Linked DNA regions of Ovis aries. The protein of the gene in region 5 interacts with the protein of the main gene of each other region in a pairwise test. Links are inferred from orthologs where the notes say so. Each region holds a gene or a part of one and is shown on either strand. Other genes may lie near its edges.

Evidence for each region.
Region 1: the proteins of TRIM39 (region 5) and UBTD2 interact in a two-hybrid assay, tested with the Homo sapiens proteins (2 studies listed by BioGRID and IntAct). The link is inferred for Ovis aries from reciprocal best matches to the Homo sapiens genes TRIM39 and UBTD2.
Region 2: the proteins of TRIM39 (region 5) and PRPF3 interact in binary tests that used the Homo sapiens proteins (3 or more experiments, as listed by UniProt). The two-hybrid records come from large-scale screens. The link is inferred for Ovis aries from reciprocal best matches to the Homo sapiens genes TRIM39 and PRPF3.
Region 3: the proteins of TRIM39 (region 5) and UBE2K interact in binary tests that used the Homo sapiens proteins (3 or more experiments, as listed by UniProt). The link is inferred for Ovis aries from reciprocal best matches to the Homo sapiens genes TRIM39 and UBE2K.
Region 4: the proteins of TRIM39 (region 5) and POLI interact in binary tests that used the Homo sapiens proteins (3 or more experiments, as listed by UniProt). The two-hybrid records come from large-scale screens. The link is inferred for Ovis aries from reciprocal best matches to the Homo sapiens genes TRIM39 and POLI.
Region 6: the proteins of TRIM39 (region 5) and MED18 interact in binary tests that used the Homo sapiens proteins (3 or more experiments, as listed by UniProt). The two-hybrid records come from large-scale screens. The link is inferred for Ovis aries from reciprocal best matches to the Homo sapiens genes TRIM39 and MED18.
Region 7: the proteins of TRIM39 (region 5) and CCNC interact in binary tests that used the Homo sapiens proteins (3 or more experiments, as listed by UniProt). The two-hybrid records come from large-scale screens. The link is inferred for Ovis aries from reciprocal best matches to the Homo sapiens genes TRIM39 and CCNC.

Annotation. Positions count from the first base shown.
Region 1 is NC_056069.1:4,221,160-4,225,262, reverse strand, and holds the start of UBTD2 (ubiquitin domain-containing protein 2), read left to right. Parts: upstream 1-1,241; 5' UTR 1,242-1,663; coding exon 1,664-1,733; intron 1,734-2,118; exon of another isoform or gene 2,119-2,240; intron 2,241-4,103.
Region 2 is NC_056054.1:100,392,513-100,396,614, forward strand, and holds the start of PRPF3 (U4/U6 small nuclear ribonucleoprotein Prp3), read left to right. Parts: upstream 1-1,246; 5' UTR 1,247-1,412; intron 1,413-2,109; 5' UTR 2,110-2,157; coding exon 2,158-2,166; intron 2,167-2,459; coding exon 2,460-2,551; intron 2,552-3,545; coding exon 3,546-3,736; intron 3,737-4,102. UniProt on the Homo sapiens protein: Plays a role in pre-mRNA splicing as component of the U4/U6-U5 tri-snRNP complex that is involved in spliceosome assembly, and as component of the precatalytic spliceosome (spliceosome B complex).
Region 3 is NC_056059.1:59,505,191-59,509,565, forward strand, and holds the start of UBE2K (ubiquitin-conjugating enzyme E2 K), read left to right. Parts: upstream 1-1,502; 5' UTR 1,503-1,691; coding exon 1,692-1,754; intron 1,755-2,740; exon of another isoform or gene 2,741-2,818; intron 2,819-4,375. UniProt on the Homo sapiens protein: Accepts ubiquitin from the E1 complex and catalyzes its covalent attachment to other proteins. In vitro, in the presence or in the absence of BRCA1-BARD1 E3 ubiquitin-protein ligase complex, catalyzes the synthesis of 'Lys-48'-linked polyubiquitin chains.
Region 4 is NC_056076.1:54,026,618-54,030,763, reverse strand, and holds the start of POLI (DNA polymerase iota), read right to left. Parts: upstream 2,853-4,146; 5' UTR 2,824-2,852; coding exon 2,670-2,823; intron 745-2,669; coding exon 622-744; intron 1-621. UniProt on the Homo sapiens protein: Error-prone DNA polymerase specifically involved in DNA repair. Plays an important role in translesion synthesis, where the normal high-fidelity DNA polymerases cannot proceed and DNA synthesis stalls. Favors Hoogsteen base-pairing in the active site.
Region 5 is NC_056073.1:27,574,509-27,578,085, reverse strand, and holds part of TRIM39 (E3 ubiquitin-protein ligase TRIM39), read left to right. Parts: intron 1-1,117; coding exon 1,118-1,348; intron 1,349-2,531; coding exon 2,532-2,554; intron 2,555-3,127; coding exon 3,128-3,243; intron 3,244-3,577.
Region 6 is NC_056055.1:238,799,948-238,803,577, reverse strand, and holds the end of MED18 (mediator of RNA polymerase II transcription subunit 18), read left to right. Parts: intron 1-1,061; coding exon 1,062-1,615; 3' UTR 1,616-3,070; downstream 3,071-3,630. UniProt on the Homo sapiens protein: Component of the Mediator complex, a coactivator involved in the regulated transcription of nearly all RNA polymerase II-dependent genes.
Region 7 is NC_056061.1:37,531,167-37,535,415, forward strand, and holds the start of CCNC (cyclin-C), read left to right. Parts: upstream 1-1,430; 5' UTR 1,431-1,558; coding exon 1,559-1,590; intron 1,591-4,249. UniProt on the Homo sapiens protein: Component of the Mediator complex, a coactivator involved in regulated gene transcription of nearly all RNA polymerase II-dependent genes.

The DNA.
Region 1 (4,103 bases), on a different chromosome or scaffold from region 5:
AGCTACATTCCCATCCTGAGTCAAAGGGTATGAACATTTTTAAGTCTCTTGATCTGCAATCCAAATTGCTTTGCAAAAAGACTGAACCAATTTACACTCCCACCAGCAGTGTATGAAAATATATTTAAATGCAAATTCCAAGCTGCATAGAGCCACTTTCCTAGGTATTTTACTTGAAAATTTTTCTTTAATGCTAAGCAAAAGCTGACCCAGGACGTTAAAAAAAGAAATCTGATTATAAAAATGGAGCAGATAGTTAAAACAGCTCTTAGGCAGAAGTAAGCTTTAGAAAGACCCAAGCCAGGTGATAAAAAATTTTAAGGCATCCTGGCGAGAAGCACAATTCTAAAGGGACCATTAACAGTTTGGCTTCAGACTGGGAGAGCAACGGCCAAGAATGTCGGGCGTGGTCAGTGTACCAAATTCTAGTTTAGAAAAAGCGGGGTATTTTACTTATTTATATTTAATTTTGTTCTAAGGACGATTTAGGGCCCTTAAAGGCAGGATCTTGAGAAGTAGCATTGTGTCTGAATAATCCTGTGAGAAGGAAACAAACCCACGCCCCCCTGAACTACGGTCCACGCTTCTCTCTCGCAGCCCCGGATGCCCTGCCTCTGTAATCTCAGTCCAGTTTGCAACCACAAAGACCCGCCTCTACGTCTAGTAATGGGGCACAGAGATTGCAGGGGGGCAGGGGGATGGGGCAGGCAAGAAGCCAGGACTTGGGATAGCAACCCACTGGACTCTACACAAATCCACAAGGTGCACTTCAATCTTCAGCCAGGAGCACCCCTCCGCCGGGTACGTGGGACCCCGCCCGCGAGCCTTCCATCACTACTCCTCCGTGCGCCACCCCCGCCCGCTCCCGACCCGCTTCTACCAGAAGGAGGGGACGCCGGAGGAGGAGTCAGAAACTCGATTTCTCCCCTTTCCACTTTTCCTATTCACTTTTACTCCGTCTGTCCTGCTCTCTCCCCCTCCATCGCTCTCTCTGCTCATTCCCGTCTCTCCCTCTCCCTCCTCCACGCCCGCTTTCTCGGCCTCTTCCCGGGGACGGAACCCCAGCCGCCTCGTTCCCTCGGGTTCGGGGGCCCCCTCCCGCCCGCCTCGCATCCCCTCCGCGCCTCCCCGCCTCCTGCCCCGCCCCTCCGCCCGCGGCCCCGCCCGCAGCCAATCAGCGCGCGGCCTCCCACGGCCCCGCCCCCCGGCCTTTCCGGGAGGGCCCCGCGGAGCCCAGGCCTAGATGCGGAGGGCGGCGCCGCGGGGCGGGGGCCGATGGGGTCTGGCGGCCGCGGGGCGCCGGCGCGGGGCTCGCCTGCACGCGGGAGCGCGGGGCTGTGAAGGCGTGAGGTGGGCGCCGCGGCCCGCCCGGGATGGGCCAGCCCCAGCCTGGCGGGGCCGAGCCGGAGGCGAGGGCGGCGCGCGGGCCAGGCCTGCTGGGCGGGCGGCCCGGGGACTGAGGTAGAAGTGGGCGCGGAGGAAGGGGCCGAGCCAAGGCGGTGGGTGGAGCGGAGAGGGGGGCGGAGGCTGGGCCGCGGCGAGCGAGCGGAGCGGAGCGCTGGTCCGGAGCTCGGCGGCGGCGGCGGCGGCGCCTGAGGAAGCGGAGGCGGCGGCGGGCCCGGACGAGCGCCCGGAGGTGGCGGACGAGGCGCCGGGGGCCCCCATGGGCGGGTGTGTGGGCGCCCAGCACGACTCCTCGGGCAGCCTCAACGAGAACTCGGAGGGCACCGGAGGTAGGTGAGCGCCAGGGGGCAGCCTCGGCCCCCCATTGTTCCCGGCCGGGCCTGGCCACCTGTCCCGGCCCCTGCGGGCCTCGCGGCCGGGGCCCCCGCGCCCCTTTGTCATCCCCTCTTCCACGTCACTCCCCGCGCTCCGCTTCCGGCCGGCCGCCGGGTCGCCCCCTTTTTTCCCTGACTCCCCCACCCCCGTCCCAGAAAAGCACTCCGCGCTCCAGGAAGGTAGCCCACGGCCTCTCGACCCCACCGCCTCGGCTGGGGAAACTCGACCAGAAACTGCCTCTGGCTCCCTCGCTCCCTCTCCAGCCCGTTTAATTATTCAGGAACAGGATGGCGGCGCTGGGGTTGCAGGAAAGCGAACTGATGGGGGGGGGGGGGGGGGGTGGGGGAGGGGAGCCTAATGCATTCCCTCCGACGGGCCCCGCCACATCTCTCCGAACCCGGCCTTGTTCAGCAGAGTTGGCTGGTCTCCGCTTTCCTGAGTTTCAGATGACAGCTGCCCTGGTTGGTTCCAATTTGGCCATTTAAACCTGCAAGTTTCTGGAACTCGGCTGGGGAAGTCTCAAGTGGCCACAGGCATTATTTTAACGAGGGGTGGGGAAATGGTCTGCCGGAGTAAAACGTGGCTTCTTGCTCCAGCCTGGGGTTATTGGGCCAGTGCACTGTCGGGGTGGGCTAGTCAAATTCCTATCCATCTTACGTAAAGGAAAATAATGTAGGATAAAAGTACAAATGCTGTTACCCCAGTAGGATCCGTACTTTAAAAGTTTCTGTGACACGGAACGCACTTGTACTTTATTGTAAATATGTTTGCTGAGGAGAGTTATTTTAATGCAATCAATGTTGTAGTATACGAGAAGAGTAATCCAGTTAATTCTACTTTTAGTTATATGATCTCTTGCTGGGCCCATTCTATACCTTGTGTAGAGGACAGAATGTTTTAGTTAAAGAAGAAACAGCTTTTAGGAATAGCAAAGATGACAGTGTTGGTTTTGTTCCAGCCTTATGTTAGATGTCACAGAAATGTGGGGTGTAAGTTCCTAAACTAAATCGTTTGGGTGGGTGGGTTTACAACTTTTTCTTAACATGCTAGCATTTGGACCAGTTGCTTGCCTGTCATTAAACTCCACATACACCTAACTTTTGACTTGTAAATGTCCTGATTACATGATGTTTAGCCATGCTACTTCATTAAAATGTATGGGCATCCTGTATGACTAAATCCTGGGCAAACTGAGAGCTCAGCAAAGCATCTTGAAAAAAAATTGCCCATGGAAAGCGGTACTTGGTAGTGCATTTCAAGTCATAGCATAATTACTCAGTGGCACGTTAACAATGAGATTTGCAGTAAAAACAAAGCAGGAAGATAAAAGGGGGCATGATTTAAAATAACCTTGGGTTAAGATCAAATTGAGGGTCAAAATCCTGTGGGTGAGGTGATCATTAATGGTACCGAACTATACAAGTAGTATTACTTTTTGCTAAGTATAGATGGTGTGCTTGTTATAGGTAGTTTAAGTTTTTTCACACTCATTTTAACATTCTAATTCAACATTTTTCTCTTGTTGGTAGTGCACTTGAACTAATTTATGGTTTTAAGGCCTTTTGGTGGTGTGACTTGTGACCAGCCAGACGTTATTAGCATGGGCTTTTAAAAGCAAGAAGTATTAGCTTTTGGTAGTTTATTATTATCAGTGGTACCTAGATAGATAGTTATAGTGTCAGCTTCTTTGAGAACTGAGTTCCCTGGATTTTAAGCTATGCTTTACCTTTTCAGAGTAAAGTTTAGAAAAACAGTCGTGAAACCTTGGTTATAATTTTGGAGAGAAGGCATGACCCTGATGTAACTGGGGTGAAGGAGTGAGCTGTGTGGGATAAAAGGATTATTTCTAGAATTTAATTTGTGGAGGCCTTTATTCTCCATTATTGTCATGAAAGTTAAAGAGTTAATTGTGGTTTAAAGGAATTAGCCCAGGTGAGTGTTTCAGGTTAACTTGTTAAATAGTTACTAGCTTATTATAGTAGATTTTTGTTTGGGAGGGAGAGACTTTTTCCTAAGGGTGTTGGCATAGATCCTTCACTTTTCAGATATACAGTAGTGGTTTTAATCTGGACATATTGGGCTATGAAAAAATTTTTTTCAGCATGGAGTAAAACAGTTTCCCAATGTTTTTCATGACAGATTTAAGATTTTCATGACAGATTTAATTACATCCACAGTGTTGTGCAAACATCATCATTTTAGGATGGCTTCACTTTCTGAATATCAGCAGACTTAGTAAAATGACTTAAAAAATTTTTTTGGCCATTTGAGGTACTGTACTTTCCCTTTCCCTCTGAATCTTAAGTCTCTTAAGTATGCAAATA
Region 2 (4,102 bases), on a different chromosome or scaffold from region 5:
ATGTCTGGCTCTAGGTGAGTGATCACAGCATCGTGATTATCTGGGTCATGAAGGTTTTTTAACTATGATTACTCCATTATAATTTCAATTTTTCATCACCTGTAAAAATATAGTGGCCATTAAGTGAGATGAGGGAGACTCTGTTGGGAGCTGGTTTGGGGTGGATGGTGGAGGTTAGAATCAAGAGTTTAGACTTCGTCATGTAAGTTTAGGACCTCTACATGTATAGTTATATACCAAGCAGCTTTACTGAACTCTCTGAGAAGTAGTGTCACTCTGTGGTCTTCACAGCAACCCTATGAGGTGGATTTTTTTTTTTTTTCTTTTACAGGTGAGGAAACAGCTTAAGGAACTTGCCTAATGTCACAGCTAATGAGTGGGAGAGCTGGAATATAAATACAGACGGCTTTAAAACTCATGCTCTTGCTTAAATCATTAGGTAATACTGAATCTCAGTGGATGCATGACATATAGTAATGGATAGTCATTATTTGTTCTGAGAAAGAATGGAAGGGGGAAAAAAAAAACACTAAAAGGGGGGAGGGGCTACCATCTTCAGAATCCTATACTCGCTTTTCCTGAGTGATCTCTGACACCACTGTTAAGTTAGGGACAAAAGCTAAGGAGGGGATGCTAGGGATCACAACTCTCGGAGGGTTTACTTTGTTTTAGAAAGTCCAGGTTTAGCCCCAAAGCAGAAGCCCTGCTTTTAGTTCTAGCATAACCGTAGTGCACTTATTCGCCACACTAGGAATACTACCCGTGAAAGTGCAGGTGCTCAGTCGTGTCCGACTCTTTGCGATCCCATGGCTGCAGCCTATCAGGCTCTTCCATCCATGGAATTTTCCAGGCAAGAGTATTGGAGTGGGTTGTCATTTCCTTCTCCAGGGGATGTTCCCCATCCAGGGATCAAACCCAGGTCTCCTGCATTGCAGGCAGACGCTTTACCGTCTGAGCTACCAGGGAAGCCTGGAAGGAATACTACAGGCAGCCCAATTTATGCTTCAGGTAACACTAACGTTTGCACACCTTTACCTGGGGAAACCAATGAGGCGAGGAACTAGCAAATGTTAAACTTTAGGGCTCCGCTACGCATGCGCTCCCTCTTTGGGGGGAAAGTAGCCACTACGGCTGCGCGAACCGGCGGCCCCACCCTCCCTCGTCACGCGTTGTGGGACCGCGGCGTGGCGGCGGCCTTGGCGGTAGAGACGGCAGGCCAGAGGGCGGCCAGAGGGTTTCCGGTTCCGGTGTAACGTTCGGGCTCCGTCTCAGGGGCTGAAGTTTGTGAGGTGAGTAGTGGCCCGGGGCCCGGAGAGGGTGTCCTGTTGTCCTAGTGATTGGGGTAGGGTTCAGTTCGAGAGAAGGACAGAGACGGGAAGGTTCAGCGGAAAGGAAGCTGAGAAAAGAACAAGGTTCTGTGGGAGAACGGGTTGGAATGAGGTTGTTGAGAGGGAAAGGGCGGGGGCGGGAAAGGGACGAGCTGAGGGGACTAGCCCTGAGATGAGGAGTTGGGGTAGAACAGGTGAGTAGGGGGCTGGTTAGAGAGACGGAAAGAGCAAAAAAGAAACGAATGGGAGTTTCAGGGATGAAATTCGACTTGTAGCAAAGAACACAGAGAAAGGAAATCCTTCAGAAGATTAAATTCTGTTCCCTGCTCATTCAAAGATCATTCTGCCTTCCTCTCCTTCCACACCAGAACCACACCCCACCCCTACCCCACGCAGTTACTGTTGAACAATTGATTAGTGACAAAGCTCATTACTGTTTGGAACTTTTATTTTGCCTATTGGCTGTTTAGTTTGCACGTTATCTTATGGAGAAATGGGTTGAAGTTATGTACATTTGTTAGTATAGTGCTTGGGCACACCTTTCATCTAATAGAGTGATGCCCCATTTGTAACTCTGGATTTTCAAATTGTTTACCCTTTCTAGCCTATGATTCAGTTCCAGTGGAACATAAGTTCTGTTAAGGCAAGAATTCCTGTCTTGTTCACCGTTGTGTGTATCCTCAGCACTCAGTAGGCTGCCTGAAACTTACTAGGTTTGCAGTAAATATCTATTGAATGAATTAAGTGCCTTATAAGAATGACAGTTGTCCTCATTTTGTAGGATGAGTGAACTGAGGCTCAGAGGAATTACTTGTCAGAAGGCTGGTAAATGTTAGAGGTGCGTGTGAGCTCTTCACTCTATGGTGTCTGAATGTGCTTCTTTTGAGCAATGCACAGTTAACATGTTGAGATTGATAGGCTATCCTGCTATCTCCTGATGGGTAAATAGAGCCACTGCAGATTTATTCATATTACATGTCACTGAGGCACAAAATACTACACCCCTAGTTTCATGACTTTAAGCTACTAGTTTCATATGGTTATACCAAAATTACATACAGTATTTAGCAATAGGTCTTCTGGAGGATAAACCTGCCAACAATTAGAAGTTAATCAAGCTGTACCTTTTAGGGAAAAGATGTCTTAAAACATCTTGAAAAATTGACACCCAGATCGAACCCTGATGTGTGGCACTTCTGGGAGGAGGTTAACTTGGAATTGAGGTCAGTCTAATTTATTGTCTTTTAGACAATATGGAGAAAATTATAGAAATAAAATTTTCTTTCTGCTCATGTAGAGTTTTGAGATTTCAGTAGGAGATAAGACTGTAAACATGAATAAAGTTTAAGAATTGTACCAATTTGCATTAAATAACAGATTGTTGTAGAGTCTTGTATGATGGTTACTCTATTAAGCTAAAAAGTAGACGAATAAAGGTGAAAAGAGTACATCCAAAATGAGGGTAATCTTTTTTTAAATTAATTTTTATTGGAGTATAGTTGCTTTACAGTGTTGTGTTAGTTCCTACTGTACAGCAGAATGAATCAGCCATACATATACATATATCCCCTCCCTTTTGGACTTCCTTCCCATTCAGGTCACCACAGTGCATGAGGGTAACCTTTTCTGAACTGAGGGATTATTTATGACGGAGACCCTGTAGAACAAAAGAAAAGGATCTGGGTACAGAATTCCCACTGGGATCACAATGAATACAGAGAAATGTGACAGAACAGTCTTGAGGATTAGGAGCTTTAATGTAAGATGTAACCCAGATAAGCCATCTCTTATTTGTGTCCCTTAAAAGAAGCCCTGGGTTAAGGAATGCCTGCCTGGAAGTAGGAAGAATAGAAACGTTGGCCTGTGAGTGGGCTTTTTCAGTCTTGTTTTCATGTTATATGTTTGACAGTCCTTGTTGAATATGATAATCAGAAAAGAAGCTGGAACTCATTTCTCAGACTAGGTTCTTCCCAAGGGTTGTTTGTTTATTCCACAGATTTCATTGATTAGCTGATGATATTACTGAGTTAGGGTTAAAAAACAGAATGTAGTTCTTTCTGTTTTGAAGTATAAGTTGAGAGTATTTGGCTTGAAATGAAGTTAGAGGAACTTGCCCAGGATTGAGAATAGCAGTGGGGAAAGCATTCCTGATATATTAATCATTGCCTGGGGTCCTTTTAGTCTTTTCCTGTCTTCTAACTACTGATTTCTTTTTAGGTGCAGTATTGAATCCTGTTTTGAGCTATCCTCCTTTTCCCAAACAATGGCGCTGTCCAAGAGGGAGCTGGATGAACTGAAACCATGGATAGAGAAGACAGTGAAGAGGGTGCTGGGCTTCTCAGAGCCCACAGTGGTCACGGCGGCCCTGAACTGTGTGGGGAAGGGCATGGACAAGAAGAAAGCAGCCGGTACGTGGGCGCTTCCTGACTCTTTTGGGCTAACATGTTAGATGACTGCAAATGCTGCCTTGAACTTCCCCAAAATTCTCTATGTTAGGAGCATCTGAAAAAAGGTCAGGCCACATTTTATTTTCTCTTGCATTATAATTGTTGTTGTTCAGTCTCCAAGTTGTGTCCGACTCTTCATAACCGCATGGACTATAGCACACCAGGCTTCCCTGTCCCTCACCATCTCCTGGAGTTTACCCAAGTTGATGTCCATTGTATTGGTGATGCCATCCAACCATCTCATCCTCTGTTGGCATCTTCTCCTTCTGCCTTCAATCTTTCCCAGCACCAGGGTCTTTTCCAGTGAGTTGGCTGTTTGCATCAGGT
Region 3 (4,375 bases), on a different chromosome or scaffold from region 5:
CATGGCCCACATGTATAGTTGGTTCGCCTTAGGACCACTAGGGGGCTCTGCTGGAAGGGTTTTTATAGTTCTTCCGTTTAGGGGAATGTTTCCAGATGCTTTAGAATTCTAAACTCTTAAAACTTGGAGGAGATCATCTCATCCAGCTTCCTTATCTTGCAGAAGAGGAAACCAAGGTTGAAGAGAGAGAGCTGGTATGGAAGGGGGCTGGAATTTAAAATCCCCTCTTGGTTCCTGCGGCAGTTCAAGAAATTCTTTTCTTGCCATGTGCCTCCACTGAATGACTCATACCCAGGGGCTTATTTTTTTTTACTGCCACAATTTTGGTAATTTTTGCTAAGACGGTGTATTCGTGATATTTTCCTAACAGGATGCTTTACTGATTAGTTAGGTGAAAGAAATGCATGAAATATAAACTTCTAAATAAATATTTATTACAAAATGTTTTCTACTCAAAGCATCCCTTAGTATCAAAACCATATTACTGGAAGCCCTAAACCACTTTTCAATTGCCTTTCAAATTTACTTCTCACTTAAAACATTTACTCTTTACTCATTTATTCATTCAATATTCATTGAGTGCCTACTAGCACTAGCCACTGTTACTCTAGGCTTACAGAAGTAAAGCTGCCCTTCCCCCCCAAGAGGGATAGGTTTCTCCAGTTTTCCCTATATATTCAGTTACTGAACATATCTTAGTTCAGTGGTTTTCATACTGTGGTCTCTGAACCAGCAGCACCTGGGAACTTGCTAAAAATGCAAATTAGGCCCACCTTACACTCTTTTGTTTTTTCTTAAGCTCTCCAGGGATCCTGATGTACATTCAAGTTTTAAAGCTATGGTTTTAGTTCCACGGCTTGTTATTATCTAAGTAGGCCAAAGATCAACATCTGGCTTCTAAACTCATCTCAGGCATCTCCACTGAGACCCGGTCTCAATTACAACTGAGATACAACAATGACCATACTTAATTTAATGATTTGTTGTACCTGGAAAGATCCTGGGATGACTGCAGTAATAGAACTGTAACGGCTGCAGGACAAAAACGAACCGCAGTGGCTTTTCAGAACCAACAGAAAATGGGCCAGACCGAGTTCCCGGACAGTGTTTTCCGACACTAGACACAGCCGGATACATTAAGCCCGTGGTCTGGCTGAGTCAGGGCGGCGCTCCAAGCTTAGAGGGGCCGCGTGAACCCGTCAGGTTGGACTCGAACCTTCGGCTAGAGGCGAAGGTCTGGAAGCCTCCACCGTACCACCTACGTTCATACAGGGGCGGAGGCGCCGGAGACGACCCGTGAGGCCCGGGAAGCCCTGGCCCGCGCGGAAGCCGCACCCTCCTGGCTCCAGACGCCGACAGGGCGGAGCCACGCGGCCGCAGCTCAGGCAGAGACGCGCCGCACAGCGCGGCGCAGGTTCGCGGCTAAGGCGTATGGGGCTACAACGGGAGCGGCTGCGCCGCCGGGCCGGGTCAGCGTCGTGCGCATGCGCGGACCCGGCGCCATTTTGGTGGCCGGGCGCGGAGGTGATTCCACACTGAAGATAGTGCGGCGGCCGGGGTGGCAGTGGCAGCGTTCGTGTGCTCGGGTGTGAATCGCCGGGGGAGGAGGCGGTGGAGGAAGAGGTGGCGGCGGTGGCGGTGGTCGTAGCGGTGGCGGAGGAGGCGGGTACGAATCAGCTGCGGGCGGAGACATGGCCAACATCGCGGTGCAGCGAATCAAGCGGGAGTTCAAGGAGGTGCTGAAGAGCGAGGAGGTCAGAAATGAACTCCCGGACGTCCCCCACATCAGCCCAGGGCGGGAGGGCCCTTCCGGTGGCAATCCCAATATCCCTGGTAACCCCCGGTTGGCCTTCTTTGCGGCCGCCCTTCTGCCTGTGGGGAAGCAGCAGTCTCCCCCCTCCTTCCGCCGCCTTCCCCTCCCCTCCCCGGGCCCTGGGATGGACGGTCTCGCGGGCGGGGGGTCTGGGGAGGAATAAGGTTTAAGGGGCAGATGGAGAAAGGGCGCTTATCGTCGGGTGTGAGCTCTAGAGAGCGCCCCACGGCAGTGGCAACAGCTGGAAGTGTGGCTGTAGGGTGGGGAGGTAGCAGGCCGAGCCTGAGAAAACCCGGGAAGTGGGTTGGGGGAAGGGGAAAGGTGGTAACTGGATCCGGAGAGCCGCGTCGCTCAAAGGCCCACACTTTTCAGGGTATTCTGGGTTATGGCCGGTCTGGCTGCCACCCTCCTTTCCTTACCGAAGGAGTGATTGATGAGAGAAGGATGTTCGGAGTTAACTCCCTCTCGGTTGGGTGTTGGGAGAAAAGAGAAGACATAATGGGGTACTAGCTTATTTGAGTGGGCGATAAGGGAATTTTCACCAGAGATAGAAAATTAATTCCGTATTAGACTATTATCTCATTTCCACTTACTCCGACATTCTAGGCGTCTTTTTCGATTGACATCTGAAGCTTTTTGACTAGGTAAAGGCACGTTCGGTATATTAAATACGTTTAAATATTTTTAGCTAAGATAAGGAAAAAATAGTGGAGTGTATGAGTAGCTTATTTCAAAATACTGTTTACAAGTTATAGATGAGAGAGTCTGTCCTAAGACAATGCCTCTGTGACACTGTTGTGTTGTGCCATTTGTGCCATGAAACTTCATTATGATGTCCCCATAGTTAGTTCTTACTTTTGAAAAAGTGTCCTACTTAAAAACATGAGATTTCGGATTAATACATTGTTATGTTTCTTTATTAAGTAGGTTTATTCCAACATATATCTGAAATGATGAAAAATTTTTGTCTCAAGCTACTACTCTTCAGTCCTGTAGAAATTTTAGGTACGCTGATATTGGCCACATTTGTTAATATATTTTAAATGTTTCGGTAATTTGACTCAAAATTATGAAAGTATAGTACATTTTTCACACCCATAATCAACAGGAATGCTAGTTTGTTTTTCCTCCTTGGACTCAACAAAGATTAAAAATACTGAATGGTTATTTTCAAGATGTCAAATATCGTTATCGAATATATTATTGCTATTTGTGCTTTTCTCTTATTTGTGAAATTCAGCATTCTAAGTATGTGATGAGTTATTGACAAGTCTGATAGCAAGCACTTGAACTTTATTTGTGCCACTGAATCTGAAGTGATTTTGTGTCTTTACAGATAGACGTGGAGAAGATTCTTTAAAATTATTTAAAAATGCCAAATCCTAGCAGATTTATTGAATATAATAGTATATAAGTAATGATTGGTTTTACAGAGCATGTGTATAAACTCTGACCTCTGTATTTGTTCAAGTGCCAAAACTCTGAATGGAAGGATGACTTTGTGTTTTTGTGGTACAGTGCAGAAAAAGAATCATAAATACCTGCACTGTGATATATAGTGAGACAGTGATTCTAAATTTTTCTTTAGTAAGAAAAGATTTTCCAGGATACTTGACATATATCTTCCTAATGAAAGTTTGCAGCTAGTATTATTGCCAGTAGCCTAGAACATTTCTTCTGTAGTACGGTTGTACAAGCCTGAAACTTAGTATAAGACTTTAATGCTTTATTTTCTATTACTTAAAAGTATAAGTAATTCGTATAGTCTCTGCATTATGTGAAGTGACTTTTCACCATGATATTCTTACTACTTGAAGTTTAAAAGAAATCTTGTATTGCTCTAGTAATGCATATTGTTAAAATAATACAGCTTTTTATATATGAGCAATGAATGATGAAACCTTGTTTCAAGTAAGTGATGTAGTGTTTCAGAGGAAGAAAACAAAATCCAAACAGGAAAATTATTTTTTTAAGAACAGTGTCTGTATAAATCTGGAATGAAACTTCTTCCAGAAAGAACATTTAGGAAATGTAATTCAACTAATTACAGATAATTTAATATTGGAATTTATAACCAATAAATAGCTTTATTTTCACCAATATATTTTATTTCATTGATACTTAAGTCCAATTCTATAGGTGTATTATGTTGATTATTTTCAGTACGTTGAAGTACAGTCCACATGTTTCCTTTTTATGTATGTAAATGCAGTATTTGAGTGGCTGGTATAATTAAGTATTTCCTCATGTCATCTATGTAAATCTTCATTTTACCAAAGTTTATTTCATATTTTTGTGTTTACTAAGAATCTTGATTGATTTTAAGGATTTCCCCTCCCCCTTTTAAGTGTCTTTGTAAAGATAGCTTACATCTGGCGGTAAGAAGTTGTAAATGGCCACTGTTGGAGTGTGTTGTTAATTAAAATACAGCCTCAAGATAAATTAAATGTGGAAAGTACAGGATAGAATCAGTGAGAAGAGGCCACCATTAGTGTCAGAAGTAGGGAAGTATGTGTATTTGTATAGGTGAAAGGATTAAGGAGAAATTGGTAACATTGTTTC
Region 4 (4,146 bases), on a different chromosome or scaffold from region 5:
CCTGCCGATCCCCTCTCCTCCTGCCTGCAATCCTTCCCAGCATGCTTTTACTCAAAGATAAATCCTTACTACATGCATAAAATTTTAGAAATTTACTTTTCCAATGTAAAAATAAAATAAGCCAAAACACAATACTCGGTAATTCCCCAATGTAAAATTTCTTTGCCTTTTATTTTAAAACATACTTATGTTTTCATGAAAAGCTTGTACTATGCATGCCTTAATATTTTGGGTTGTTCAAAATCCAGTTGTTTTGTCACACAAAATCCAACTATTTTGTTACACAATTCAATAGTTAATTTCAAAAGTAGAATAGTTGAAAATGCCTATTAAAATTTTTTTAAAAGGTTATTCTTGAGATAAAATGGCTGTAAAATTTCAAACATTGAGAAAAAGACCAGAAGTTTATTGTGGTCTTCCTGTTTATTTGGTTAATTACACTGCTTCTCTCACATTTGCCATTTAGTAAATGAGGCTCATGAAGTTTACATCCAGTAGTGAAATAAAGATTACTGTCCATAAAGCATCAGAGAACTGCTGCCAACATTAATATGCTTAATAAATCAGAATAAATAACAAATCATATCATACAATGAAAATAGTATCAAAGTCCAGAATTACCTAAAGGTTTGTCCTTTAGTTCTGGATTGGAGATCATTTCTACTTGTGCATAAAAGCAATCCAGATCCACGTGTACTATGACTCTACATGAAGAACTTCCTGCTGGTTCCAGCTCATCATGAACTGTGGCACAATATGCAACCAAATGAAAAAAACACATTCAGCCTGTTTATCACCTCTGAGCAACTGCCAGTCCCTTAAAACATGGCAACCAACAAAGAATATAGAGTGATTTTTAAGTTTTTTTCCCCTGGATTTATTACATGTCTCAAAGAATCTAAAACTTACAAGGATATGAAAGAAACTCCACCTACAAGAGAGTCCTCAGGCCTGTTTACTATTTCTTGGTGTATTGCATTTTTCTCAGGATAGTAATAAATTTTAAGGGAAAAAAACCTTTTATCAATAATGGAAGACGCAAGAGGTAATCCTAGGACTTTGAAGTTTATAGGAAAACTTAAAGTAAGTTGGAAAGGGCTGAAAAGTTTGTAAACACAAATCTTCCAACCAACTTAAAAATTATCCTTCCCTGGTGGCTCCTTGTAAGATTTAACCTGCCAACGCAGGAAACTGAAGTGACTTAGCAGCAGCAGCAGGAGACATGGGATCAAACCCCAGGTGGGAAAGATCCCCTGGAGGAGGAAATGGCAACCAGCTCCAGCATTCTTGACTGGAGAATTCCATGCACAGAGGAGCCTGGTGGGCTACAGTCCATTCCATGCAATCACAGAAGAGTCAGACATGACTTAGCGACTAAACAACAACAAAAAATTATTCTAAGTGGCATGTCCTTAAAAAAACAGCCTGAAACACAAAACAGAAGGCAGAATCTATGGGTCCCAGTGGACTATATTTAGCTCCCAAGAGATCAGGATTATTTGGTTCAATGCTGAATAGCCGATACCTAGACTACCAATGGCAACCCACTCCAGTACTCTTGCCTGAAAAATCTCATGGATGGAGGAGCCTGGTAGGCTTCAGTCCGTGGGGTCGCTGAGTCGGACACGACTGAGCAACTTCACTTTCACTTTTCACTTCCATGCTTTGGAGAAGGATATGGCAACCCACTCCAGTGTTCTTGCCTGGAGAATCCCAGGGACGGAGGGAGCCTGGTGGGCTGCCGTCTATGGGGTCGCACAGAGTCGGACACGACTGACGTGACTTAGCAGTAGCAGCAGACTACCAACAAATACTTGCTAAATTTAAAGACTGAGTAAATATTTCCTGGATTTTAAAAAGTAGTTCACATCTTGGTGGAGGGGTCAGAGGGATAAGACAGGAGATTTCAGCTATTAACAGCAGTTAAAAACAAGGCAGGCTAAAATGCCATGTGGTATCCTGGTTTGGAGTTTGGAACAGAAACAAATTAAATGGAAAAAAAAAAAAACCCTGGTAAAATCTGAATAAAGCTTGTCCTTCTGTTAAGAGTATCAATTACTATGCCAACGTTACTTTCTTTTGACAAATGTATCACGGTGACGTAAGCCATTAAAGTCGGTAAAAGTTATCTGTGCATCTCTCTGTAAATCTGCAAGTATTTAATATTTTTAAAGCTTTTTAAAAACGAAGGGCTGGGAGACTGGGAAGGAGAGAGAGCCTTGGCCCCAAACCCCGGGGGTTGGGCCCCGAGGCTGGAAGCGGATCAGCAGAGAGGCGGCCACTTGCAGACCCGGCCGGGTTCGGTTCCGAGCCGGGCGGTCCCTTCCGGGCTGAGGCCGGGCCGCAACCGCTACCAAGTGAGCGACAAGGTTCCCGCTTCCGCAGCCCTGAGGCCCCCGAGGCCCCTTCCGCTTTCGCGGGGCTGTTTGAGGGGAGACGAGCGCAGCCTCCATCACCCCACTGGACGCGCCCGGCCTTCCCCTTCTGGGCGAAGCCGCCCCTCTCGGGGACCGTGGCCTCAGAACACCAAGCGGCGAAGGGCCGCCCTCTCGGCGGAGCCGGGAACACGCCAGGACGCGGGCGGGGAGGGGACGGTCGCTCTCCAACGGCCGCCGCCGCCGCCGCCCGGGGCGCCCGCCCTCGTCGCCCCGCCCCGCCTGCTCATTTACACCAAGGGAGGTCGTCGGGCTCGTCAGGCTCCAGCGCCCCGGGCCAGCCGCCGGGCGCCCCCGCCTCCGCCCGCTCCATGGCCCGAGTCGAGTCCGCTTCCTCGTCGTCGTCGCCGCCGCCTGCCTCCTGGGGCTCCACCCCCCGCTTCTCCATTCCCCCGCGGCGACCGCCCACCGAAAGGCAGCTTCCGGCCGCGGCCGCCCGCGCTCCGCGGGGAGCAGCGGGGCTCGCACCTGCGCAGTGTGCGCTTAGCCGCGGGCTACCTTGATGGTCGCAAGGGCTGCAAATCCTCCTGACTTGCCTCTGGGACTTCTCTCCAGCGTAGCCTTGAAGGAGGGTTTACCATCCCAAACAGCTCTTCCCAGCCCCCGCATGCGGTCTTCGGAGTTACGTTCTTATCACAAGTTTTAAATGTTTATTTTTATGTAGAAGGCAGCTTGTTCTCCCGGTCAACTGTTAGAAATGCTAACCCGGAGATGCTGAAATTTTATGGTGATGGGGGTGGGGGAATCGATGGAAATTATGGTGAGAGCCAGGCGACCTTGTAAACTGATTGTGTTAGTTGCTCAATCGTGTCCGACTCTTCGCAATCCCATGGACTGTAGCCCACCAGGCTCCTCTGTCCATGGGATTCTCCGGGCAAGAATACTGGAATGGGTTGCCATTTCCTTCTCCAACTAATACGATTAGCTAGTATGTTAAAATTGCGTTTTGTTGTTTGACTCAAAGATACTGTGACACTGCTGTATTTAAAGTGGAAAACTTAACGAGGACCTACAGTATAACACAGGGAACTCTGCTCACTGTTAAGTGGCAGCCTGGATGGGAGGAGAGTTTGGGAGAGAACATGTGTATAGGTGTGGCTGAGTCCCTTCACTGTTCACCTAAAACTATCGCAACATTGGTAATTGTCTGTGTGTCTGTGTGCTAAGTCCCTTCAGCCAGCTGACTCTTTGCCACCCTATGAACTGTAGCTGGCCAGGCTCCTCTATCCATGTGATTCTCAGACAAGAATATTGGAGTGTTTGCCAGTTCCTTCTCCAGGGGATCTTCCCAACCCAGGGATCAAACCCACATCTCTTAGGTCTTGTGTGCATGGGCAGGCAGCACTCAGTTCAGTTCAGCTTGGTCAGTTGAATCCCACTTTTTGCCACCCCATGGACTGCAGCACACCAGGCTTCCCTGTCCTTCACCACTCCTGGAGCTTGCTCAAACTCATGTCCATAAAGTCAGTGATGCCATCCAACCATCTCATCTTCTCTTGTCCCCATCTCCTCCTGCCTTCCATATTTCCCAGCTGCTGCTGCTGCTAAGTCACTTCAGTTGTGTCCGACTCTGTGTGACCCCATAGACGGCAGCCCACCAGGCTCCCCCGTCCCTGGGATTCTCCAGGCAAGAACACTGGAGTGGGTTGCCATTTCCTTCTCCAATGCATGAAAGTGAAAAGTGAAAGTGAAGTTGCTCAGTCGTGTCTGA
Region 5 (3,577 bases):
GTTTGTTTGTTTGTTTGTTTTTTTAACAATGACAACATTTCAATAGGAAGCAAGTATTATTACCTTAGTCCTTTATGCATTTTAAAAAGAAACATTTGAATTTTTAAAAAGTTGAACTAATTTTGATTGCAAAGGTAAACTTAAAAAAGTTATTGTCTTGAAACACTAAAAATCTGTGAAAATGAAGCTTATTCCTAATCATTAGCTTTCCTCTTCCTATTGATCACATTCTTAAGGATAAAGGACGGAGAAGGAAATAAAAAGTTTAAAAACCTGCTAAATGCTTGAATAGAACTGTGGTGTGGGTTTTTTTTTTTAATGTAAATTATCATTTCAGTGGTCTCAGAAACTGTCACCAATCACCAACTTTCCTTCAGTGACCTTTTGAATTATCTTTCCTCCCTCTCCCTCATCCCCACCTCCAGACCCAATGCCCCTTTTATTTTTTCACATCTATAACCCATTCCTGGGGTGTAAACTGTCAGTCTCTGAAGTGACTTGAAACTGTTTAGCAGGCTCAGCCCCAAAATCTAAATTTATATTTTATAACAGTCCATTACTAAAATCTTACTGATTCTGATATTTTTCCAGTTTTTCCATCTCTGGTTTTTATCAGGTAGATGTCTTGCAGTGTACAAATGATGACAATCTCTAACTTTCGAGTATCTGTGCTTTCCTTTTCTTCACAATTTGCGTTAGCTAGAACTTAGAGTAGGAAATAGCAGAGGTATCTCTGCTATCAGTACTTGTCCTATTATTACAGCCGTATCTCTGTAATACTACTTGTCATATTATTGAGTTCTTATGTCTTGAATTTTTTTTTTCTAAAACATAAAAGTATAGCTTTTTTAGAAGTTAATTTAGTAAATAAAATAATTTTTTCAGCATTGGTTTATTTTTTTATCTCAATGATCTTCATCCCAAGTTATCAGTAAGGGTGCTAATGGGGATGGAGCCATTCTTTACAGAAGGAAATATCAATGGAGAGCAACATGAGTGTCCTTTTAAACTCTCTCCAATGGCACTTGAAGTCTGAATTCATACACATGGTGCATGAGGAAAGGTATCCTATGCCCCACTGACCCTGTGAAACATAACACCCACCCTCTGTTCTCAGAGACTAGTGGAGAGTCGCCGACAGCAGATCCTAAAGGAATTTGAAGAGCTTCACCGGCGCCTGGATGAAGAGCAGCAGGTGTTACTTTCACGGCTGGAGGAAGAGGAACAGGACATTCTACAGCGCCTCCGAGAAAATGCTGCTCACCTTGGAGACAAGCGCCGGGACCTCGCCCACTTGGCTGCTGAGGTGGAGGGCAAGTGCTTACAGTCGGGCTTCGAGATGCTTAAGGTTCGACCTTTGCCCCTGCATAGCCACTCAGGCCGAGCGCAGTCTAGCTTTGCACAGGTCATTCTGTCAGCCTGCAATGCTCACTCCTCCACTCTGCCTCTCTAAATCCAGTTCTTTCTTCCAGACATGCTCAAAGGATCTTTCTCTACAGAAAGGCTTCTCTGATTTCTCACATCCCTTTTGATCACTTCTGTGTTCTTATGTCTTGTCAACAATTATGTGCTTAATTTGTACCAAAGAAAAAACTCAATTTTTTGAGAAGAGGGCAGTCTAGTCTAAATTAGTGAAAAATCTATGCATTAAAAATTGTGTAAAATGCAGTAACCGTTACTTTTAAGTCCTGGAACTTGACTTACCTAGTGCTCAAAAAGAATAGAAATATAGTGTGATGACACTTGAAATAATGTATAGTAACATGCTGCTTTTGATATGTAAATAGTGCCTCTAAAATGTTTGAAATAGTCTGTTTTCTTAAGCAAATGAATGGTGTTAGCAAGATTCCAGGAAACATATTTCTTATCTTAGAGATCACATTACCAGCATTTGAATCAGCGAGGCTTCGTTGTATATTTATCTGCATGTTATATATTGCTTGGTATTTATTCTCATGTCCTTTCATGTATGTGTGTTCTGCCTTCCACATTAAACTGGGAAATCCTTGGCGGGGCAGAGATTTGTCTTCTTTGTCTTCTGGACCCCAAGTATTCACAAATCAGGATTGGCACGCACTTATAAATATTTATTAACCAATACTAGACAAGGGATACCAAACCACAATGGGAGAGAGTGATTCATTCCTATGCCAGCAGTCTAGAACTATCTCTACTGATTCTCAAGGAGGCAGGTGTGTGGTTGGTACTTGGGGGACAGAGCAAAGAGCAGACACAATCCTATCCCTGGCATTGAGGTCCCGGTGTTCTTGAGGAACAAAGACAAACACACAGGAAACTATTTGGAAGTGACATCAGTTACCAAGTTTCATGATGACTGAGAGCTGAAGGTGGGGGTTAGGTTGGGAAAGATGTACTCAGATCCCTCTGGAGTTAGTCCCCTTTGCACTGTGACCCTTAGTTTGTCCTGTGCCTGTTTAATAGTTCTAGAACTTTGGGGAGGAGGGGAACCTTTTGCCTATAGGGCCCTTGACTACCAGGACCAATATTGCTTTCTTTTCTCCTTCCTCTAGGATGTCAAAAGTACCCTGGAAAAGTAAGTGATTCTTGTATCTCTTCGAGTGAGTTAGGTCTTGGCTTAAAGACTAGGGCTGCAATAGGGAGCTGGGGGAGTAAGAATGGGAAAGTCATGCAGTGTTTGGGTAGAAAAAGGGAGAAGGGTTTTTGCATCCATGAAGCCAATTACAGAACAAATGATTGGGAGTACTAGTCTGTTCCCCTTTACCCTTTGAGCATCAGGACTTCCTTGGTAGGGTAGATACCAGCATAATGTAATAGAACCAGATTCTGCCTGGGCCCGTGGGTGGAATCATGTCCAAACAAGATGGAAGGAGGAATGGGTTGGGGAGTAGGGGTGGTATCTCTTTGCATGAAATATAACAGTACCTCCAGAAAGTTCTAAAACTCATTCTTAAGGATTTGTCCAGGGGACCATCTCTCTTTCCATAGATAGGCAAAAGAAAGCAGTGAGTACTTGTCTTGAGAGAGGAGAAAGTACGAGGATGAATAATTTTAGTTTCTCCCTAAAGATGACAGCATCTGAATAGTGACTAAGCTGGAGCTTCCCCTGACCCTGCCCTTTCTTCCCCTATCTCCCCATCCCTCCTAGATGTGAGAAGGTGAAGACCATGGAGGTGACTTCAGTATCCATAGAGCTGGAAAAGAACTTCAGCAATTTCCCCCGACAGTACTTTGCACTAAGGAAAATCCTTAAACAGCTAATTGGTGAGTTGTTCCCAAAAGGAAACTAGCAAAGGAAATCAACAGAGAGACGGAAGTCTTTAGGTCCTACTTTATCTGGACTTCAGTTATCCCTGTTGTCACTTTTCATGCCTGTATCCACATCCACTCCTTTACCTGGCTTCTAATCTCACTCTGAGTCGCAGAACTCAAAGTGAGGAGCCTCAGGTGTCATCTGCTCTATAAATAGGGACCCAGAGAGGTTAAATAATTTGCCAAAAACTGGTCTCCTCTTAGTCCCACATTTTTCTAAATAGGGACCCAGAGAGGTTAAATAATTTGCCGAAAACTGGTCTCCTCTTGAGAATGAAAGGGAGTC
Region 6 (3,630 bases), on a different chromosome or scaffold from region 5:
TTCCAAGCCCTCAAAGAGGTCTCCTCTTCTCCACCCATACTGGTTGCTCTCTATTCAACACCCCGTTTATCTCTTGTTTATTGGTTTACTTATTTTTTTCATTTCCCCCACTAAACTATAATCTCTGGGCAGGCCAGGCCCCCTACTTCTTAGCATGGTGCCATTCAGTAAGTGTAAGTGTATGAACCAGCACTTAACAAAGCTCCTTAAATGTTTGAAGAATGAAAAAACACATGGCTGACACTGTTCTGAATGTAGGACCTACTCCCTACTCTTGTGATCTTCTGTCCTTTGATAACTGGGACCCACTCTGTTGCTTTTCCAAAAATTTAGTCATTTGAATACCACTGCCAATATTTACTGTAGTTATAGTAGTATATTTTTATTTACTTTAACAGATTTAGTCAATAAAGGAATATGTTTCTCACATTGGAGTATCAGCAGTAGAGAAAGAAAAATTATTAAAAAGTCAATACACTGATATGTTAAAAGATGACTAAAGAGTTGAGGTGATAAGCTAAAGAAAAATAAAGCGGGAAAGTGAAAAGAGATTGCAGGGAAATACACTATTCTGTTGGAGAAGAAAATGGCCACCCACTCTAGTATTGCCTGCAAAATCCCATGGACAGAGGAACCTGGCAGGCTACAGTCCATGAGGTTGCAGAGTCAGACACGACTGAGCAACTAACACACACACATGCTGTTTTATTTAGTATTTTTTGTCTTATATAAAATAATATATATTATTTTATAATAGAATGGAATAAAATAATTATTCTAGGTAGATACTGTTGCCTGTTAAACCCCAAAGTCTGCTAGAGGTTAGCATTACTAAACAAGGCCTAACTTCTAGTACCAAATAAAACAGTACAAAAAATTGAAAAGAGATTAACATAATATCTTGGCAGTGTAACCTCCTACAATCTCATATATTGGGCCTATGGTTTACAAAACACTGCACTAAATTATTTTGGTTTTTCATTTAAGTTTTTTCAGTCTCTTGCTAATTCCATTACCCAAAATGAAAGATGGAACTCAATAGTGCTTTTTTCCTTCTTCAGGAAGTGTTTTAGATCACAGCTTGGAAAGCCTCATCCACCGCCTTCGTGGTTTATGTGACAACATGGAACCCGAGACTTTTGTTGACCACGAGATGGTATTCCTCCTTAAGGGCCAGCAGGCCAGTCCATTTGTTCTAAGGGCCCGACGCTCTCTGGATAGGGCAGGGGCACCCTGGCATCTTCGCTACCTGGGACAGCCAGAGATGGGAGACAAGAACCGCCATGCCCTGGTGCGTAACTGCGTAGACATTGCAACATCTGAGAACCTCACTGACTTCCTCATGGAAATGGGCTTTCGCATGGACCACGAGTTTGTTGCCAGGGGACACTTGTTCCGGAAAGGCATCATGAAGATCGTGGTATACAAGATCTTCCGCATCCTGGTGCCAGGGAACACAGACAACACTGAGGCCTTGTCACTGTCCTATCTCGTGGAACTAAGCGTTGTTGCACCAGCTGGGCAGGACATGGTCTCTGATGACATGAGGAACTTTGCAGAGCAGCTGAAACCTCTGGTTCACCTCGAGAAAATAGACCCCAAAAGGCTCATGTGACTAAGACAATCTGTCCACTGGGGCTTGCCCTCAGCTGTTACAAGAAAAGATGTTATAATTGCCCCATTTCACCACTGCCAGCCATGCATTCTTCCCTCAGGATGGAAGCCAGTGAGAACTCAGTTGTTTTTGCACTGATTTCCTCATATGGCCAGTTCACTTTTGTGACAGGCTTTCTATCTTATTTTTTTTTTTTTTTTTCTATCTTAAATGCTAAGAATAACGTGGAGAATCTAGATCATCCTTCTGCAGGAAGAAGGGAAATTGGACTAAAGTAGCTTTCGGGAAGAAAACTTTTTATGTATAAGGTTTGTAAAATAGAGACCAAGTTTGTATTGTGCAGTAATAAAAGCGTAAGGAGAAATGTCTCCCATTCTGATTCTTTACCGTACTACCCTACTAATTTGGGATGGACTCATCACCAACTGGAGCAAATATATGACAGTGTTTTGTTTAAATTTGGTAGATGATAGATAGCTTTTACCTTTTGTACGGGTAGCACGTGTTTGTTGTGGAAAAAAATTAAATACAGACACAAATAAGGAAGATAATGTATAATCCTGTTATTTAAAGAGATGTGCTGGGTTTTGTGTGTTTTTTGGTGTGCCTCATGCATGGCATGCAGGAACTTAGTTCCCAAACCAGGGCTCAAACCCACGCCCCCTGTAGTAGAAGTTTCCTAACCACTGGACCACCAGGGACGTCCTGAGATGTACAGTTTCTATTCTGTTTTATATCCTTCTAGGCTTTATTTTTAGAAATGTATATATATGAGGTATATTTTAGAAAAATATTGTGTATGTACTGGCTTATAATCATTTTTTAAAATCAGTAACATTTTTCTAGGATATTAGGCTACAGTGTTCCTCTGCTTAAAAAAAAAGTTTCTATTGAGTTCTTATTATGTGTCAGTGTTATCCTAAGTGCTTTAGGTATGTTTATTAACTTAACCCTCACAACGACCCGTATTTTGCAGGGAAACTGAGGTGCAAAAAGAGTAATTAGCTTTCCCTGAGCAATTCAGCTACAAATGAGCAGAGCTTGTATTTAAATGTTGATAATTGTAATCATTATTTGTATCCTATCATTAGGATTTTCCAAAACGTAACTGTTTCCTCTACTTTGGGATTTTTAGTTAGATCCCATGTTTTTGCTTTTATAAACTATCCGGTGTCGCTAGTACTTTTAATTAGATATTTTTTGTCATGTGTGATCATTCTTCAGGATAAATTCTAGGGAACTGCTGGGTCAGAGAGTATGCACTGTTTTAAGTCTTCTGCCATGTATTGCCAAATGCCTTCCAGAAATGTTTCAATTTTCACTCCTACCAGTTGTAAATGAGGTTCCAACACAGCTGCCAAAACTGGGTGTGACCACGATAACACATTTTTCCCGTTTGATGTGAAGTGGTGACTGGTTTTAATTAAAAAAAAAAAAAAAACCACGATCAGTGAGACTTAAATTTTTGTGTTTATTGGACATTTTTTCCTTACATGAATTTCCTTTTCTTCATTGTTCATCTTTATTTGTGAAGAGCTTTTATATAATTTTCCATTTATCACTTGACTTAATGAATTTTTTAAAACAGTTCTAAGTGAGATAAATGTGGGTTATTTTAATCCCTGTAGAGTTTTTAATACACTGGAGACAGTTTGGCTTGCTAAAAATTGTAGGTCACTCAAACTTTTCATTTTCTTCTGGAACCTTCCACTTAGATAACACCCCAGTTGACCAACATTTGACAAATCATAATTCTCGTTGGACCTCAGTTTACCACTTGAAAGATTATATGAATACTCAAGAAAACCTATCCAAAGTTGACTTAAATGGTAAGGATGATATTACCTGATTTAAGGGTAAAATCAAGAATAGGATAACTTCCAAGTTGGTTAGGTGGTTATTTCTCAGGTGCAAGGAGATCCAACCAGTCCATTCTAAAGGAGATCAGCCCTGGGATTTCTTTGGAAGGAATGATGCTAAAGCTGAAACTCCAGTACTTTGGCCACCTCATGGGA
Region 7 (4,249 bases), on a different chromosome or scaffold from region 5:
ACTGTGGAAAATTCTGAAAGAGATGGGAATACCAGGCCCCCTGACCTGCCTCTTGAGAAACCTATATGCAGGTCAGGAAGCAACAGCTAGAATTGGACATGGAACAACAGACTGGTTCCAAATAGGGAAAGGAGTACGTCAAGGCTGTATATTGTCACCTTGCTTATTTAACTTATATGCAGAGTACATCATGAGAAACGCTGGGCTGGAAGAAGCATAAGCTGGAATCAAGATTGCCAGGAGAAATATCAATAACCTCAGATATACAGATGACATCACCCTTATGGCAGAAAGTGAAGAGGAACTAAAAAGCCTCTTGATGAAAGTGAAAGAGAAGAGCGAAAAAGTTGGCTTAAAGCTCAACATTCAGAAAACGAAGATCATGGCATCTGGTCCCATCACTTCATGGGAAATAGATGGGGAAACAGTGGAAACTAGTTTTTGGTTCAAGCCAATTCAATTAAACCTACATTTATGGGGTCCCTCAAAGATGATTTACCTTTGAACTAATGAAGCCTAAGCTGATGCTCCTGACTTGCAGGGCCACTGAGAAAACTGAGGGATGCTGGGCATTTAGACGCTGGAGTTCTGGGTAGGAAGCAGAAACCAGGTTGTACACAGGAAGTATTTCTATGTGGCATTCTGGTAAACTGCCTGAAAGTTCACAGAAGGAAGGGACCTGAATCTCCTAGCTTCTAGTAATTTGTCGTAATCTCTTTTTGCATTGTTTCGCAGTCACTTCAATCCAAAAGAACTCCATTAAGAACCTATTCGGCTTGTTAGGTTTTGAGGCCAAGTGAAAGTGTCAAAGTCGCTCAGTCGTGTCCGACTGTTTGCGATCCCATGGATTATACAGTCCATAGAATTCTCCAGGCCAGAATACTGGAGTGGGTAGCCTTTCCCTTCTCCAGGGGATCTTCCAAACACAGGGATCGAACCCAGGTCTCCCGCATTGCGGCTGGATCCGTTACCAGCTGAGCCACAAGGGAAGCCCTTTGAAGCCAAAATTAACTTTATTTCTCTTTCCAAACACAGGAGAAAGAACAGAAGTCAGGAAGTCGTATAGTTTAATACAAAGCCACTGTGCTGCTTTGGAAGCCTGTAAGATGGGAGTAAAGTTAACCCGAACAAGGGACGGTTTCCCCATCCCACCCCTTCTCCGTGAATCCTAGCTCCCACAGACGCACGAGCCGCGCGGGCTCTAGGCCGGAAATGACGAAAACCTCTCGCGATACTCTCCCAACTGCCGCGAGACTTCGTGAGAGTCAGTTCCCGACTCCTTTTTCAGTGTGCGCAAGGGCTATCTCCTCCCCGCCTCTTTCCTCCGCTACCGCGGGGCGGGCCGGAACTTCCATGCGTAGGAACTGGTTTGTACAGCAGAGTGTTGCCGGCCGGCGTCAAGAAGAATAGGGTGCTATCTTCCTCTCACCGTCGCCGCCGCGGAGCGGAGCCGAGTCCATCAGATCAAGGAGCGCGGTGACCGGGAGGGTTGGGTCTATGGTCGCTCCGCGCTCCGCTCCGCCGGCTGGTGCTTTTTTATCAGGCCAAGCTGTGTTCCATGGCAGGGAACTTTTGGCAGAGCTCCCACTAGTAAGTGATCTTCCGTTTTCTCCGGGCCTGGCTCTTGGAGGTGCTGGGTGTACGGGGCCTGCGACTCCTTTTGGCCTGGATCTCGGCCCCTGTCCGGAGCGCCGCGGAGGCTCCAGGGAGGCGGCGGCCGGAGGCGGGATGTGCTTTTTCTTCGGCGACTCTCCTCACCGCGCCCCGTTGGCCGGGTTTTGGAGTGGTAGAGAATTTCTTGGCGGGGGAGGGTAAGAGGGATTGCGTCTCCGGAGGAGGAAGGTTCGAGAGTTTTAGCTTCTGATTTTTGGTTTAGCTAGGCCGAGGTTGGGGGCAGGGGAGAGGCGGGGCTGGCGAGGGTTGGGATATGGGATGGACACAGGTATGGGAAGTGTGACAGTTCAGAACTGTGAGGCTGGCTTCTCAGGACAGTTGTGGTTCGATCTCGCCTGATATTTGTAAAGTAGGTTGGCATCAGTAATCGTTTATCATTCTTCTGTGTTGAGTGGATTGTTACTCCAAGGAAAGGAGGGAGTCAGGCTTGTTTCTGCTCATGAACCGCATTCTGCCACTGTCTTTAAGCCTATATGGTTTTTATGTTTGTAAGTTATAGATCAATTGCTCTCAACATTTGTCCATTTCGTTAGTCTGTGTCTCATGTTTTGTTTTAAAAGTGTATTTTCTAGAGACTTTACCAATATCTTTAACGTGTTTTCCAGAATAAGTTTTTGTTGACGTCTGTACCGTGGAAGAACTAGAGTAATATTGAAAGCATTTCTCCCTAAATACATTTGTGTAAGCAGATAGGACGATGGTGATGGGACTAATTGAACTTTGGGTAGGCTGTACAGTGTATAGTTGAAAGACACAGAACTTGATGATACCTTAGTGTAAATACTTTTTCATGCGAAGAGAGCATAAGTAAATTTTGAGTGTGAGGATGGATTCCTATATTATTCAATTGGTATTTTAGCCGTTTGCACTAGAAAAAACGAAACAATGGGCTTTAAAACCTATTTTCAGAAAAGCAGGTTTTCTTGCTGTAAGTGGTTCTGTGGAGATGAATGGCTATAGAAGCTTTACTTCCGATCATATTTAATTTGCACTGTATTCACTGACTGAAATATTTGCTTGGGCAAAATTAAAATATGGAAAATTTCTGTAGTGAAGTAGTAGTATTCTGGTTAACTTTGAAAGAAGCTGAAAAAATTGACAGGGAGCCAGTTGTTGATTATCAGAAGTTACAGGCCTTTTTCAACTTAAAAAAAAGAAGTTTGACCCTTTGATAAGTCTTCTCATTATGCTTTCATTTACTGTTGGCTTATTAAAAAGGGGCCAGGATGTATTTTATAAAATCAATTATTTTTTCACTTTTCAAATATAAAATTAAATGTGCTGTTTTTAAAACTGTCCTTGCCTTCCTAATCAAATAGTCCTGGAGGAAGGGGCCACTTTATCTTACTCAGATCCCTTGGGAATCATGGAGTCCCTGATCTGCAAAAGGTAACAAATATGAAAGACAAGACAAGCAATTCAGGAAAAACAAAAAGATGATGAAAGCCATTGTTTTAGGTGATTTTGGTGAAAGAGGAAGATTGATATGATTTTTCATGGCTTAAAATCGCCCTTTAACATTAACTGCTGCTAGCAGCAGTTAAAAAATGGATAACATTGCTGTTATCAGCATGGCAGTTTTTGTTTCCTTCAGTAACATAGGAAATAATGGTGAATCTTACAATCATGTGTAATTTTAAATTTGAGAATATGTGGCGTTAACTGGTTTGTCTTCCATGCTGTGTGCTGTGAAGAAAAACAGTTGTTTGTGGAATTTATCTTTTTAAATATTTGAAATAACTGTGGAGAAGAAATGGATGATTTTGAAACAGAGACACTGGTAGTATTTTTCAGGAAGTTAAGTAGAACACAATACATTCTTTGACCATGATGCAGTAAAACTAGAAGGACACTAGACATTTGCTGGTTGACTGAAATAATGAACAGGTGACAAAAACTAAAACTACAAAACCAACTCTGGATGCTTTACTGTAGCAAAGAGAGCATTTAAAATACACTTACATATTATCTAGGAAATAGTATAATGAGATTAATATGTATTCATATCTTTGGGATGTGGCCAAAGCCAAATTTATAAGAAAGTTAACATCTTGAATAACTGAAAAAGAATAAAAATTATATATTTTACTTCAGAATATTAAAAAGGAAACAGTGAAATAAACCTAAGAAAAACAGGCATAATAAAGGTAACACTGATACTGAAAAGGAAAAAAACCGTCAAATTATAAGAGCTGCCTCTTTGGAAGGGAAAACCAAAACAGTAGACTAAACTATGCTACTGAATATAGGGGAAAAGGAATGGTCAGTTCAGTCCCTCAGTCGTGTCTGACTCTTTGTGACCCCATGGACTGTAGCGCTGCTAGGGTTCTCTGTCCATAACCAACTCCTGGAGCTTGCTCAAACTCATGTCCATCCAGTCGGTGATGTAGGAATACAAAATTAGGTAGGAGAAAAGTAAGTAATCACAGATGTACCTTTGGGTTATCTTCATTTTCAAAGTAAATTTTAAAGCCAGAACAAAGTTATCAGAGAGCTACTTCTTTAAAAATTGCTCCAGGCCCACATTATTTCATAGGTAAATTTTTACCCACTTTCAAGACCATCTGCCATTAAA